3 linked regions of the Solanum lycopersicum genome follow. The protein of the gene in region 3 binds, or shares a complex with, the protein of the main gene of each other region. Links are inferred from orthologs where the notes say so. Each region holds a gene or a part of one and is shown on either strand. Other genes may lie near its edges.

Region 1 (3,560 bases), about 56 Mb from region 3:
GATTTAATTGAGTTCTGTAGCAAAGTATTTGTCAGTCACCTCTCTCCCTCAAACTATCGCTCTTCACTCTCCCTCTCTTGTTCGCTCGTCTCTCTCGTTTTATATTATCAGAAATGTATAAATTATGTTTCTATTATTATAAAGCGAGAGAAAATTGTATATACACATGCAAATATATATATCTATTCGTTCTATACACTTATAATTACACAATATAAATATTCCCCCACCCAGTTCTTTTTTGTCTTTCTCTCTTTATACAAACACAGATTATACAAAATACAATGTATAATTTATATTTTTATAAAGCGCGAGAGAGAGCGAAATTTGATACATTAAGTTAATCACAAAATATGTCTCTTCCTTTAATTGTTCATGATGTACAAATCAATTGGAACAAACTTTGAGATTTTACGACTTATTAATTAAGTAATTAACTTATTTATGCAACATGTACTTGAGAATACACATATATTGTGGAGAAGCTTTTCCAAGATTTCGTAAGAGAATACTTAATCATATGTTTAAATACTTAATCAGAACTAATGAAATTTACTAACAAATTTAACAGATTATTGATGTATCTTGCGACTAAAAAAAATGAAAGAAGAAACTCTCATTGAGTACATATGAGAAATGATCCTACAAATTAGACCCTACACTAGGGAACTAAAGGATATTAAGAAGTACTATATGTAACATATATGATATTAGTTGGAAAATTGATAACATAACTAACATATAGTTATTTTTTTTTTTAAAAAAAACTAATGATTAATTAATTAAGGTACAGGGTATGATTTGTTATGGCACATACATTTGTAAGCAACAGGACAAGTCTCAGCTTCTTCTAATGATGAACAAACAAAACTAACCATCACTAATCTACAAGGTTTACATGATCCACATGCATGAGAACAATCTGGTAATCTTGATCCTGCTACTTGCAATGTATATGCTCTTTTTGCCATGACCATATGTCTTTCATCTAAAAAAATTAAAAAAAAAAATGAGCATCATTAGCACAAAGTTTATGTGGTAATTAAGAGAAAGCAAGAATATTACGATAACAATAATATATTCAGTGTGATCACATAAATAGAAATCGTGAAGTATGAAAAGGGTAGAGTGTAGGTGGACTTTATTAGTCATTTTTAATTATGGACATAGTAGTTTTATACTAAAATATTTGAAGACCGGTAAATGTATTACTAATAAAGGTTGAATAAAAATCTTAGAAACAAACTCTCTATTCACCTTATAAGATATTTTTCACGTTTCATGTTTTTTATAGTTAAACTATGTGAACTCTGATTAATATTTATGGATGTACTACTATTTTTTTAGTCTTATATTAATATGAGAAAAGTTGTTTAACTTATATCAGTTTGTATGAGAAGAATTGAATTTTAGTTTATGGGGCACCAATTTAATGAAAACAAAGACTTATAATTTGTGATCTTAAACATGTTATAATATTTGTGTGACTATAAAAAAATTTCATTCTAATGTAAAATGAAAGTTTAACATTTGAATTCTTTGCAAGTATAAAAAAATAACATTTTGTTTTCAATAAACTACCAAAGAAAAGTGTGTCATGTAAAATAAAATACATATTTGAATGAAAAAGTAATTATTCATCAATGAAGTTTATAAAATTGTTTGTTGATAAAGAAAACTAAAAAGTTGATTCTTCAAATATTCACAAATATATTACGATTTTCTGAAATAATAACTATCAAGTTCAGTAATCGAGAAATAAAATGGTTGGAAGAAAGAAGTTGATCATACATGAGTTAATCTTGGGAATTTGCCTTGCATTCATGACAATTGGAAGGAAAACAAGAAAAACAATGATCATAATTGCAATATACTTGAAACTCCTCATTGTATACATCCTTAATTTGTTTTTGTTTTTTCTTCTTCTTCTTAAGCTCTTTGATCACCTAATTTATTGTTTGATATTATAATGTTTTGTTGAAGGAAAAAAGAAAGAAATGAATGGATATTTAAAAGAGGTGAGAATTGAATCAAGTCACAGGCAAGAGTGAGAGATGATATAACAATAAGCTAGGTCACATGAAATAGGCACATTTACACTCATAGGGCTTGAGAACCCTGTGAATCACACTTTGACACACTTCCATTTATCAAAAAACTATTTTTAACGGTAATAGCTTACTTGTTGCTAAATATATATTTTCAGCGCCAATTAGAACTCTTTGTAAATGTCTCGAAAAGTCAATAGTGACACTGAATCCAATGAAAATTAACTAATGTCGATAAAATTTTTTACACTCTTTATTAATATATATATTTATTGTTGCCAAAAGGGTACAGTCCAAGAGATATATATTTACTCAATCGGATCACTAATAACATAATTTAGAAGGAAACTTTTTATTATTCGACTAAATTAAATTATAGTAATTGATAGTGTAATGAATTTCTTACATTATGAACGTAATTTAATATGTTATAAGCTTATTAATTCCACTTGATTACCCGGACAATGCTTTTATTAAACAAATATAGTTGTAATTATATTTTAAATGATTTGATCGTACAAATATTATGCGATTAATTCATATCTTTTTAATTAATTCTAAGGGAAAAATGAGAAATATTAATTAATATTATCTTAATTTTATAATTAATTAGACAAAGAGAATATTTCTTAATTTTTTTTTTTGTGAAGTATGGTGATTAATTTATGGTACAAAGATTTACTATGACCAAAAAAAAAATGTTGTTTTAACGTGAAAATTTGAATGGTGAATTGAAGTAGGTTTGTCAATTTTCATGGACCAGCTTTAAATGAAGAAAGCATATATTATAATAAATATTATATTGGTAAAAATTATGGTAACATGATCTCAAAGATGAAAAGTAAATATAGTAAATTTATGAGCTTAGTGTACTCAAATGTGACTGCTATAAATGTTTGTTTTTACTCACACAAAATTAAAGAAAAACTCCAAAATGTGATTTCTATTGCATGTGATGTATTTATTACTTTTATTAAATATTAGAGTATTCTTTTATGATTACTTAAATTGATAAAATGTTCATACCCCATGTGAATATTTTCACATGTTTTAACAAGTTAATTGAATTGCTTTGACACATCAAACTGAGGTTCTATATTATCTATTTAACGATAGTTTGAAGTTATATATATATATATATATATATATATATATATATATATATATATATTCGTTTTATATATGTTGTTCACTTGATTATATATAAATATTTACTTGATGTTTTAGAAAAAAAATATTACTATCTTCTATTCACTTTTAATTGTTTTGAGAGTTCAAATAAGTTAATAAGTTTTAAAAAGTTTGTTTCAGAGTAGTAGATAAATGGTAAATTATTTTAATTTTTCCTCTTGTTTATGATTTTTTTTAAAAAGCATGTAAAAGATATAAATTATACGAATATATTTATTATCTGAATGGATATGATTAAACAAATATGTTTTATATGAGAAGCTACTTACACTTACTAAGTGCACATATAAAATGTATTTCACTATTGTTACTAGCATATAT
Region 2 (4,445 bases), on a different chromosome or scaffold from region 3:
TGGAGTGTGAGTTAGGCCTAAAATATAATTTAACATAGTATCAGAGCAGGATCCGTCTCACCCGATGATGGGGTCTCCAATATCAAAATTGTTCATGCACCATATGTTAAGCAATGAATGGACTCTTTATAAGGTTTGGACTGTCTTTCTCCCTTAGATCTATCTTTTAGGGTGTGAATTAAGTCTAAAACCTAATTTAACTACTCTGTATTTATATTCACAATTTTTATGTTTCGTCAAAGTTAGTATAAGGCAAAAGACACAAATAGAAGATCATTGAAGAAAGGGTCTGGTAAAACGTGAAGGTCTGAACTTTGGAATAAATGAAGTTTGAGCATTTATAAATTTTCTTTTTCATGCATGCCTTTAATTAATGTATATTTTCCCTCCTCCCATGTTTCATGTCTTATTAATTTACTGCACCTGCAAGAATAAATCTATACCAAGTACAATTTTTCAATTTTGAATCTCTTTGAGATTATATTACAAGAGAGAGAAAAAAATACCAAACAAGTCGAGTCGAGTAACAATTAATTTGACAAAATTAAGCTCATAATATTATAAAAAGAAGTAGCTTAAAGTAGTAATGTAAAACAAGAAATGTATGTAGAGAGACAAGTTTTTTTTTTTCTTTCTAAGTATAAATATGTGTTAATGAAGTATCTATAACGTAATTCTCAATACCAACCATCATAAAATATCCAATATGCATGGAACATGATAGATAAAAAATTTTAATTATCACTATAAGAAATAATTAGAATGTTTTCTTTGTACATACTCTCTCCGTTCCTATTTATATGTCATCATTTTAGATTTCTCGTCTCTTAAAATGTTGAGTGAAATTACTATTGTACTCTCATTTAGTGTTATCTTGAAGTCAAGTTTTCAAACGAAGGAGTAATTTACTTTAATTAACTAATTTGACCAATGAAAATAGATTAATTATTTAAGTTTTCTATATATGGGCAAATGTATAGCTTCAAGGCTAATAACTTTCAAAGGGTAAAATAAGAACAATATTATCATTATAATTTTGTGAAATGATAAATATTAAAAACTATCTATTTTTAATAAGGACGACAAATAAAAAAGAACAAAGAAAATAACACATAAGCAATGAGATTTCCCAAATAATATTTGGAAAAAAATGGCAAATAATGTTTGTCCATACAATTTGCCATTATTTGGCAAATATTTTTGGCAAATATCCCAAATTCTCAAATACAAGTTTTTTTCTAATATTTGGGCCAAATCTCATTATTTTGGATCTTTTGAAAATTAAATTCTTACCTCAAACTTTTATCTTTTACAAAAACACCCTCTATAGTAGTTGCTTGCGTTGTATTACATAATCTTTTACGTGGAAAACCAAAATAGTGATGAAATATTTACTGAATATTAAATAATGATTTGATTGTTGATGAAAATGATGAAAAATTGGCTCAAGGTAACAAAATCACGTGTTTTGTATACTTTACGATGTATGGAATGATGTTTGTTGCACTCACTCTAAATTACAGCATTGCTCTAGTGTCATGGACACTATTGTTATTGTTGTAACGAACATCCAATTGACTTGTAATACAAACCTATAGTTAGTTTTGATAGTTTTTAAAACTTATGGGTATAAATCATATTTTTCTAAAAAGGTGAAATATAATTTCCAAATCCTATGCCAAACACATGGTAAAATTTCACCAAATTTTCTCAAATAATATTTGTCAAAAATATTTGAAAATCTATGGCCAAACGCTAGCTAAAGTAGAAAAACAGGTTTACACTTTACACCATTATTCCAAACTTGTTTCAAAGTAGAAAAACGGGTCATCAAATAATTTTTTCGTGGAGCATAAATTTATATTTTCATTTTAGCTTTTAATATTTCAAGAGTTACGTAAGTGTATTCTTAAAAAACTTACGCACTACTAAAAATAAGATCGATTGCTGAGGCAAAAAAAAAAGTAAAAATCAACCTATTTAAAATGTAAATTGTGCAATAAAGGCTAGAAATTTTTTTGGACAAAGTGTGATTGACTAATGGTAAGAAACTGATTTGATATGTACTGATTATTACTTAAGATCCGACAATTTAAAACAGATAGATATAATTCATAAATTTCTAATCCTAATTCCAACTCTGCCAGCAATGAATTTTTTTGTCTAAATTAGCCATTATTATTATTAATATATATATATATATATATATATATATAAACAGTTGAAGTTATGGCAAGCTTACCTAAATACCAACAACAGCATACCTAGTATAATACGCAGACGTTACCCCTACCTAAGCAGGTACTGAGGTTGTTTTGGATAGATCTTCAGCTTGCTCAAACACCATTGTCACGAGAGAGAAAAAACACTATAGTTTCCCTGATTTTGATCTCCATTTCAGACAGATACCTCAAACCATAGAGGTTGTGATTCTCCCAACTCAAATTAAACTTCCCAACTAATTAGCTTCCAAGACTAAATAAGAGTTAAATCGATCATTTCAAGGACTAGAAAGTATGAAAGGAAAAAGAATGTTCAACTTCACATTCTTTATATGACAAAGACTAAAGCTTTAACGTCTAGGATAAGGTACAAGAAAATATTCTTTAGACGTTAATCATTAGTAAAAGGAAGGACCTAACGAACTAACTAACCATCAAGTTCTTACAAATGGATAGACTAGCAAATAACTCAATGCAAAATTTTATAGGATCAAATTCAGAGAGAATAGAAGAACATCAGGACCTTACATCAGATAAACCAATGTTGTCACAGAAGTATTTGACTCACTCATGTCTTATGGAACAAACCTGATTGTAACGGTAACTGCCAAACGGAATTAGTTATCAACAAGATCTGTCGAATCCAATCAGCTTCAAATTGCAAGATTGATTTTTGCATATAGCCTACAGCAGTTCAGACTTCTCGTCAACACTGACTGTGTTTTCAGAATACAAACTGAAAACAGAAAAGCAATACATGTAATGAACTAGAACTGAAAACTGAGAAAGATCTCAGCACCTTTTGGTGTCAAAAATAAACAAAATCTATAAAGGAGCCACAATTTTCTTGAGCTGTTCATACAAATCAGGCATCTGATCCTTGTAGGGCTGCACAAAATAATCTATGAATCTTGTCTCATTTAAGCTCAGAGCATAATAGAGATCCAACTTTCTCCTCTCAACCTTCTTTTCGTCCAAAATATCCAATACTTGCATCCGAGGTACCACCCTTTTTTCCATACTGAAGACCAATATTGCAGGATGAGAAACCAAGTAAGCAGTTCCAATACCAAGTTCCTTCATGAAAAGATTCAGTGCTTTATGAATTCTAACTTCCGAGAGGCCAACACAAAAAGGTAGCTTCCTGAACATCTTGAGTATATCATCATCAGACCATCCAAAACTCCTAAAGATTCCAAATTTCTTTTCCAACTTAGACTTGTTTAATGAGTTTAACACTTGACATCCATAAAGAAAACTAGAGGAATCCCGTGGGACTCGAAAATCGTTCTCCATCCTATGCAACAAACTTTTAATCCTCTCAGGATTTTGAGCAAAATAACTGGGATTTCTAAGCATGAGTTTTTTAATTCTCTCATCAGGAACACCATAGTTTTTCAACAACAATATATTAGTCTCAATAGTATGATGAGCACGAAAAGAAAGCAGCCAAGGAAATCTCCTTAACGCCTTAACTACATTTTCGTTACTACCCAAAACCCTCCTCAGGAGATCAATGGTAGGTCTCAAATGAGTATCTAAACCTCTATCAACAATTTGTGAATCTTTAGCAATTACATCCACCAGGTCCGACCCGGATAATCCCAGATCCATAAGGCACTGAAATTTGGGTTTTAGGGTTTTGGAAACATCACGAAATAGTAATTTGGGAACACTAGAAACCATTGTTTTCATCTGGGTGTTGTCGAATCCAGTTTGTTTCAAGAAATTGATGACTAAATCAGGATTCTTTAAGTTTTTACGTGAAGTTACCTTGGAGGATGTAGATGCAGCTTCTTCATTGGAGAATCCGAGAGAATCAACAAGGTATTTAACCAAGAAATGGGTTGGGGCAGGAGCTGCGGTTGTTGAGTAGAGATACTGATATCTGAAATTGAAGGAGGAAAAGAGGTCTCCAAAGCCATTGCAATGAAATATGGAGCTGTGAGTAAATACAGCTATGGCTTTCGCTCTGATAAGCATTTCTTTTGCAATTTGAAGAGTATACCAAATCAACGGAAGTTTATGTATACTTTACTTTGTAAAAAAAAGAAAAGGAAAAGGTTGATATACCGAACTTTGTTATTTAGAGTTATACAAACGGTTCATATATATTCTGTCGTTATAAAATGATTCACATATATCCTTTATTTAACTGAACTTAAAAAATTAGTTTAAAATTTATTTTTATTATTTTTAATTTTTAAAAAAAATATTTAAGAA
Region 3 (3,717 bases):
TTATTTAGACCTAAATTACTCGACATAAACTTAAAATGTCGTAAAATAAAATTTAAATATAAAAAATTGAATAACCAGCATTTGTATGAATGACTTGACAAGGGATTAAGTTCACAAATGGCGTTAAAAAAGAATGGTCTTGATTATTTATTTTTTTAATCATGCTTAACGGATTTAATATAAATAGTCTTCGCTTGAAAAAGATATCCACTAGACAATGTTTGGGGAAGTTGTTGTGGACATAAATTAGTTGTCTCTCGAAAATTTAAGATATTTTAAGACAGTGAACCTGCTCAATCAATTACAAATTCTTTTTTATAAGCAAAAGCTATAATTTATTTATAATATAAGCAACATAAAATCTTCCTAGCCAATTATTTTAAATTAAAAATATTTTCTAAAAAATCTATTAAGCAAAGATCAAAATTTAAGATCAAACACTTTTAGAAACACCAGGCGTTAAGTGTGCATATGGTTAGGTTGGTATGAATTTTTTAAATATTAAATCAAATCATTTGTATGGAATTTTTAAATATATGAACCAAACCAAACCAATAAAATACGAGTTTTTATACTTTGGATTTTTTCGGGTTTTTTGAATCATTCGGGTTTTTTCGGGTTTTCCGCTAAAATATTAATTCAAACATATAATTTATTTTGCATGTCAAATGTTTCTTCAACTCAAACAAAAATACAACTATCTAAGATGTTTCTTAAGAATATAACACAAATAATGATATGATTAATGACACTAAAATATCCAAACATATATATATATAATGAAATCGCGTAAAAAATTACAAATCGACAAGTCATAATGAAAATGATCATAATTTAAAAGTACTAAATCATGTTAAAATAAGTTTAATAAGTATTAGTTACATGGCTAAATATTAAAGGAAATAAAAATTAGATTATGTATTTAAATTATCTAACCAATGTAAAATCAAAGAACAAATATTCTATATTATTGTCATTCTTAGGTTAAATTGTTTTTCTCTTTTGATTATTATTAATTTGATTTTGATTTAAGTTTTAGTATAATTACCAATATCGACTATACCATCCAAAATTCTAAGTTTTAAATTTAAAATAATATATTAAAAGATTAAAAACTATGAAAAAGTATAAAAAAATATTTAAAAATTATATCAAAATAAATAATTTATGTATAAAATAAAATTTTAAAATCATTTTATAATATCGAATTCTTTTTTTTTATATAGTTAAAATTCAATTTTTTATTCAATTTTATACGCACTTACCACACGTCATTTTGAGTTGAGGGTTCGGCCCAAAATCTGATTCTTTAATGGAGCCCAAGCAAGCCTACTTGTATGTGGGCCTAAATTAACTGAGGCTCAAACCCCGTGATAGTAATAAATGTTCATTAACCACATAAACTCATGCATTTATTTCATCTCCTCCTCATACTCGTGAATACATTATTATCCTACTTTAATTTATGCACCCACCCATTTTCATTCACTTGTCACACTCCCCAACCTGGTCATTGTCATAAATATTTGTGTTATAAAACACCCCCTAAAAATACAACCAAGTTTGTCACTTCATTCATATTCCAAAAATGGCCCTTTTTCTCTCAATACAAATACCTCTACTACTACTATCTTTTTTCTTCTTTCCTCTAGGGTTGTCATTCACCGTCATAATGTCGGACTCCGGTGCTCTAGTCGATGCTCCACAAACCGGCTTCTCGATGAATAACAATCGTGCACGAACCGATCCTCGTGAGCAAGAAGCCGTTTACGACATTATGAGGGCTACGGGGAACGATTGGGCCATCGATATCCCTGATGTTTGTCGTGGTCGATGGCATGGTATTGAGTGCATGCCGGATAATGACAATGTGTACCACGTTGTCTCACTTTCCTTCGGTGCATTGTCCGATGACACAGCGTTTCCTACGTGCGACTCGACTCATTCCTTCATTTCACCTTCGGTTAGAAAACTTCCGCACCTTCGGATTTTGTTCTTCTATCGTTGCTTTAGTAACAATCCTCAGCCCATTCCAGGATTTTTAGCCCAATTACGGCCCACTTTGCAAACACTAGTGTTAAGGGAAAATGGGTTCACAGGGCCCATTCCTAATGAACTGGGTAACCTAACCCGTTTGAGAGTTCTGGATCTTCACAAAAACAATCTTGATGGTTCAATACCCATCTCTCTGGGTCGGATCACCGGTTTGAGGTCATTAGATTTGAGTGACAACAAACTAACCGGTTCTATTCCGAGTTTAACTTTCCCTCAGTTGAATATCTTGGACCTCAACCAAAATCACCTTACGAGTTCAATTCCATCCACACTCATGAGCTGTCATTCGCTTATAAAGCTTGACCTAAGCCGTAATCGCCTCTCTGGTTCAATACCTGACTCGATCCACCACTTAAACAATCTCATCCTTTTGGATTTAAGCTACAATAGCCTAACAAGCCCATTCCCAATGTCGCTCAAGAAATTGAATTCTCTACAGACCTTAGTCCTGAATGGAAATCCAATGGACTCAGCTACTCTACCGGACAACACATTCGATGGTTTCAACAGCTTAATGATTTTAGGGTTATCAAACATGAATCTTCAAGGGCCAATGCCAAATTCACTAGGCCGATTACCTAAGCTACGAGTCCTCCATCTCGACGGGAACAAGTTAAATAGCTCGATCCCATCGAGTTTTGGTAATTTAAGAAACATAAGTGAGCTTAGGCTAAATAATAACATGTTGAGTGGTCCTATTCCATTTAAAAGAGACATGGTTTGGAGAATGAGAAGGAAAATGAAGCTTTCAAATAATGATGGGCTTTGTTACAACAAAGAAAATGGGCTTGGAGATGATTTAGAGACATTGTTGGATTCAGGGATCGGACATTGTGGGGACTCTAAAACAGTGCCAATAAAAACAGTACAACACATTTCAACACTCAACAGATCAAATAGCAACAAATTATTATCGTCTCTTGGATGCTTCCTTTGGTCAGCTTTAGTTTTTGTTCTAGTTTGTCTGTTGTGAGTAGTTGTTTACAGATTTTGGTACAGTGCTTTTTTTTCCCTTTCTGTTTTTAAATGTAACTAAGCATATATAATACATAAATGTACTTTTTAATTTGATTATAAACTTTAATTTTGGATGTGCACAAGACACAAATAGACATTTTAACTTGTATAGAGTTGAACAAGTACACACATGAGTCACAATACACATAGGACACCACATAAGATTCATGTACTATCTATTTCTTCAACTTTATTTAAATTAGTGTATACTTGTGTATATCTAAAGTAAGAGGATATAAATGTAAGTTGAAGTTAAGTTAAAGAATATATTTATATTTTATGTGTAGTATTAAATAAGAGTATGACTACTTTAATTTTCAGATTTTTTGAGCAACAACTTGAATGACAATTGTAAATATTTGTTCCAAGTTTTGAATTTAATTTTAACGACGTTACTAATGAAGTTGACACTACAGAACTAGTTGGAATTAAGATTTTTTTTTAATTACAAAGAGAATGTAACCTCTCATTTCCAATTATTTTCTAGGTTAATCCATCCCAAATGATGGAGTCAGTACTCCATTTTTTCTTATATTCTTTTATTATTACAATTTAGAAGTAGTTCTCGTTTGGATTGGCTTAAAAAAGAGTAGCTTTTGAGTTAAAAATAAAAAATAAGGGAAGATTTATTTTTGGTTTCTGACT

The links. The genes of interacting proteins can lie anywhere in the genome.
Region 1: the proteins of protein TOO MANY MOUTHS (region 3) and protein EPIDERMAL PATTERNING FACTOR 1 are in contact, whole or in part, in a crystal structure (PDB 5XJO), measured with the Arabidopsis thaliana proteins. The link is inferred for Solanum lycopersicum from reciprocal best matches to the Arabidopsis thaliana genes TMM and EPF1. Residues at the interface, in NP_178125.1 of Arabidopsis thaliana: Trp73, Ile77, Pro78, Arg82, Gly83, Arg84, Trp85, His86, Tyr98, Asp111, Thr112, Ala113; in NP_179684.1 of Arabidopsis thaliana: Arg56, Asp59, His62, Ala63, Gly65, Ser66, Lys93, Pro102, Val103, Pro104.
Region 2: the proteins of protein TOO MANY MOUTHS (region 3) and protein EPIDERMAL PATTERNING FACTOR 2 are in contact, whole or in part, in a crystal structure (PDB 5XKJ), measured with the Arabidopsis thaliana proteins. The link is inferred for Solanum lycopersicum from reciprocal best matches to the Arabidopsis thaliana genes TMM and EPF2. Residues at the interface, in NP_178125.1 of Arabidopsis thaliana: Trp73, Ile77, Pro78, Arg82, Gly83, Arg84, Trp85, His86, Gly87, Ile88, Glu89, Met91, Val101, Asp110, Asp111, Thr112, Ala113, Lys135; in NP_564442.1 of Arabidopsis thaliana: Asp75, Tyr78, Ala79, Gly81, Ile104, Arg106, Arg112, Tyr113, Tyr114, His115, Val116, Pro117, Ser118, Arg119.

Annotation. Positions count from the first base shown.
Region 1 is NC_090811.1:4,045,817-4,049,376, reverse strand, and holds protein EPIDERMAL PATTERNING FACTOR 1, read right to left. Parts: upstream 2,011-3,560; 5' UTR 1,898-2,010; coding exon 1,792-1,897; intron 989-1,791; coding exon 783-988; 3' UTR 602-782; downstream 1-601. UniProt on the Arabidopsis thaliana protein: Controls stomatal patterning. Regulates asymmetric cell division during guard cell differentiation. Mediates stomatal development inhibition. Not cleaved by the protease CRSP (AC Q9LNU1).
Region 2 is NC_090803.1:61,264,825-61,269,269, forward strand, and holds the start of protein EPIDERMAL PATTERNING FACTOR 2, read right to left. Parts: upstream 2,902-4,445; coding exon 2,811-2,901; intron 1-2,810. Other genes in the region: transcription termination factor MTERF5, chloroplastic-like, read right to left, coding at 3,048-4,205. UniProt on the Arabidopsis thaliana protein: Controls stomatal patterning. Regulates the number of cells that enter, and remain in, the stomatal lineage by inhibiting protodermal cells from adopting the meristemoid mother cell (MMC) fate in a non-cell-autonomous manner.
Region 3 is NC_090811.1:60,150,823-60,154,539, reverse strand, and holds protein TOO MANY MOUTHS, read left to right. Parts: upstream 1-1,381; 5' UTR 1,382-1,588; coding exon 1,589-3,028; 3' UTR 3,029-3,133; downstream 3,134-3,717. UniProt on the Arabidopsis thaliana protein: Promotes cell fate progression in stomatal development. In leaves, needed to correctly orient spacing divisions, to limit the number of asymmetric divisions in neighbor cells, and to promote the asymmetric (amplifying) divisions of meristemoids.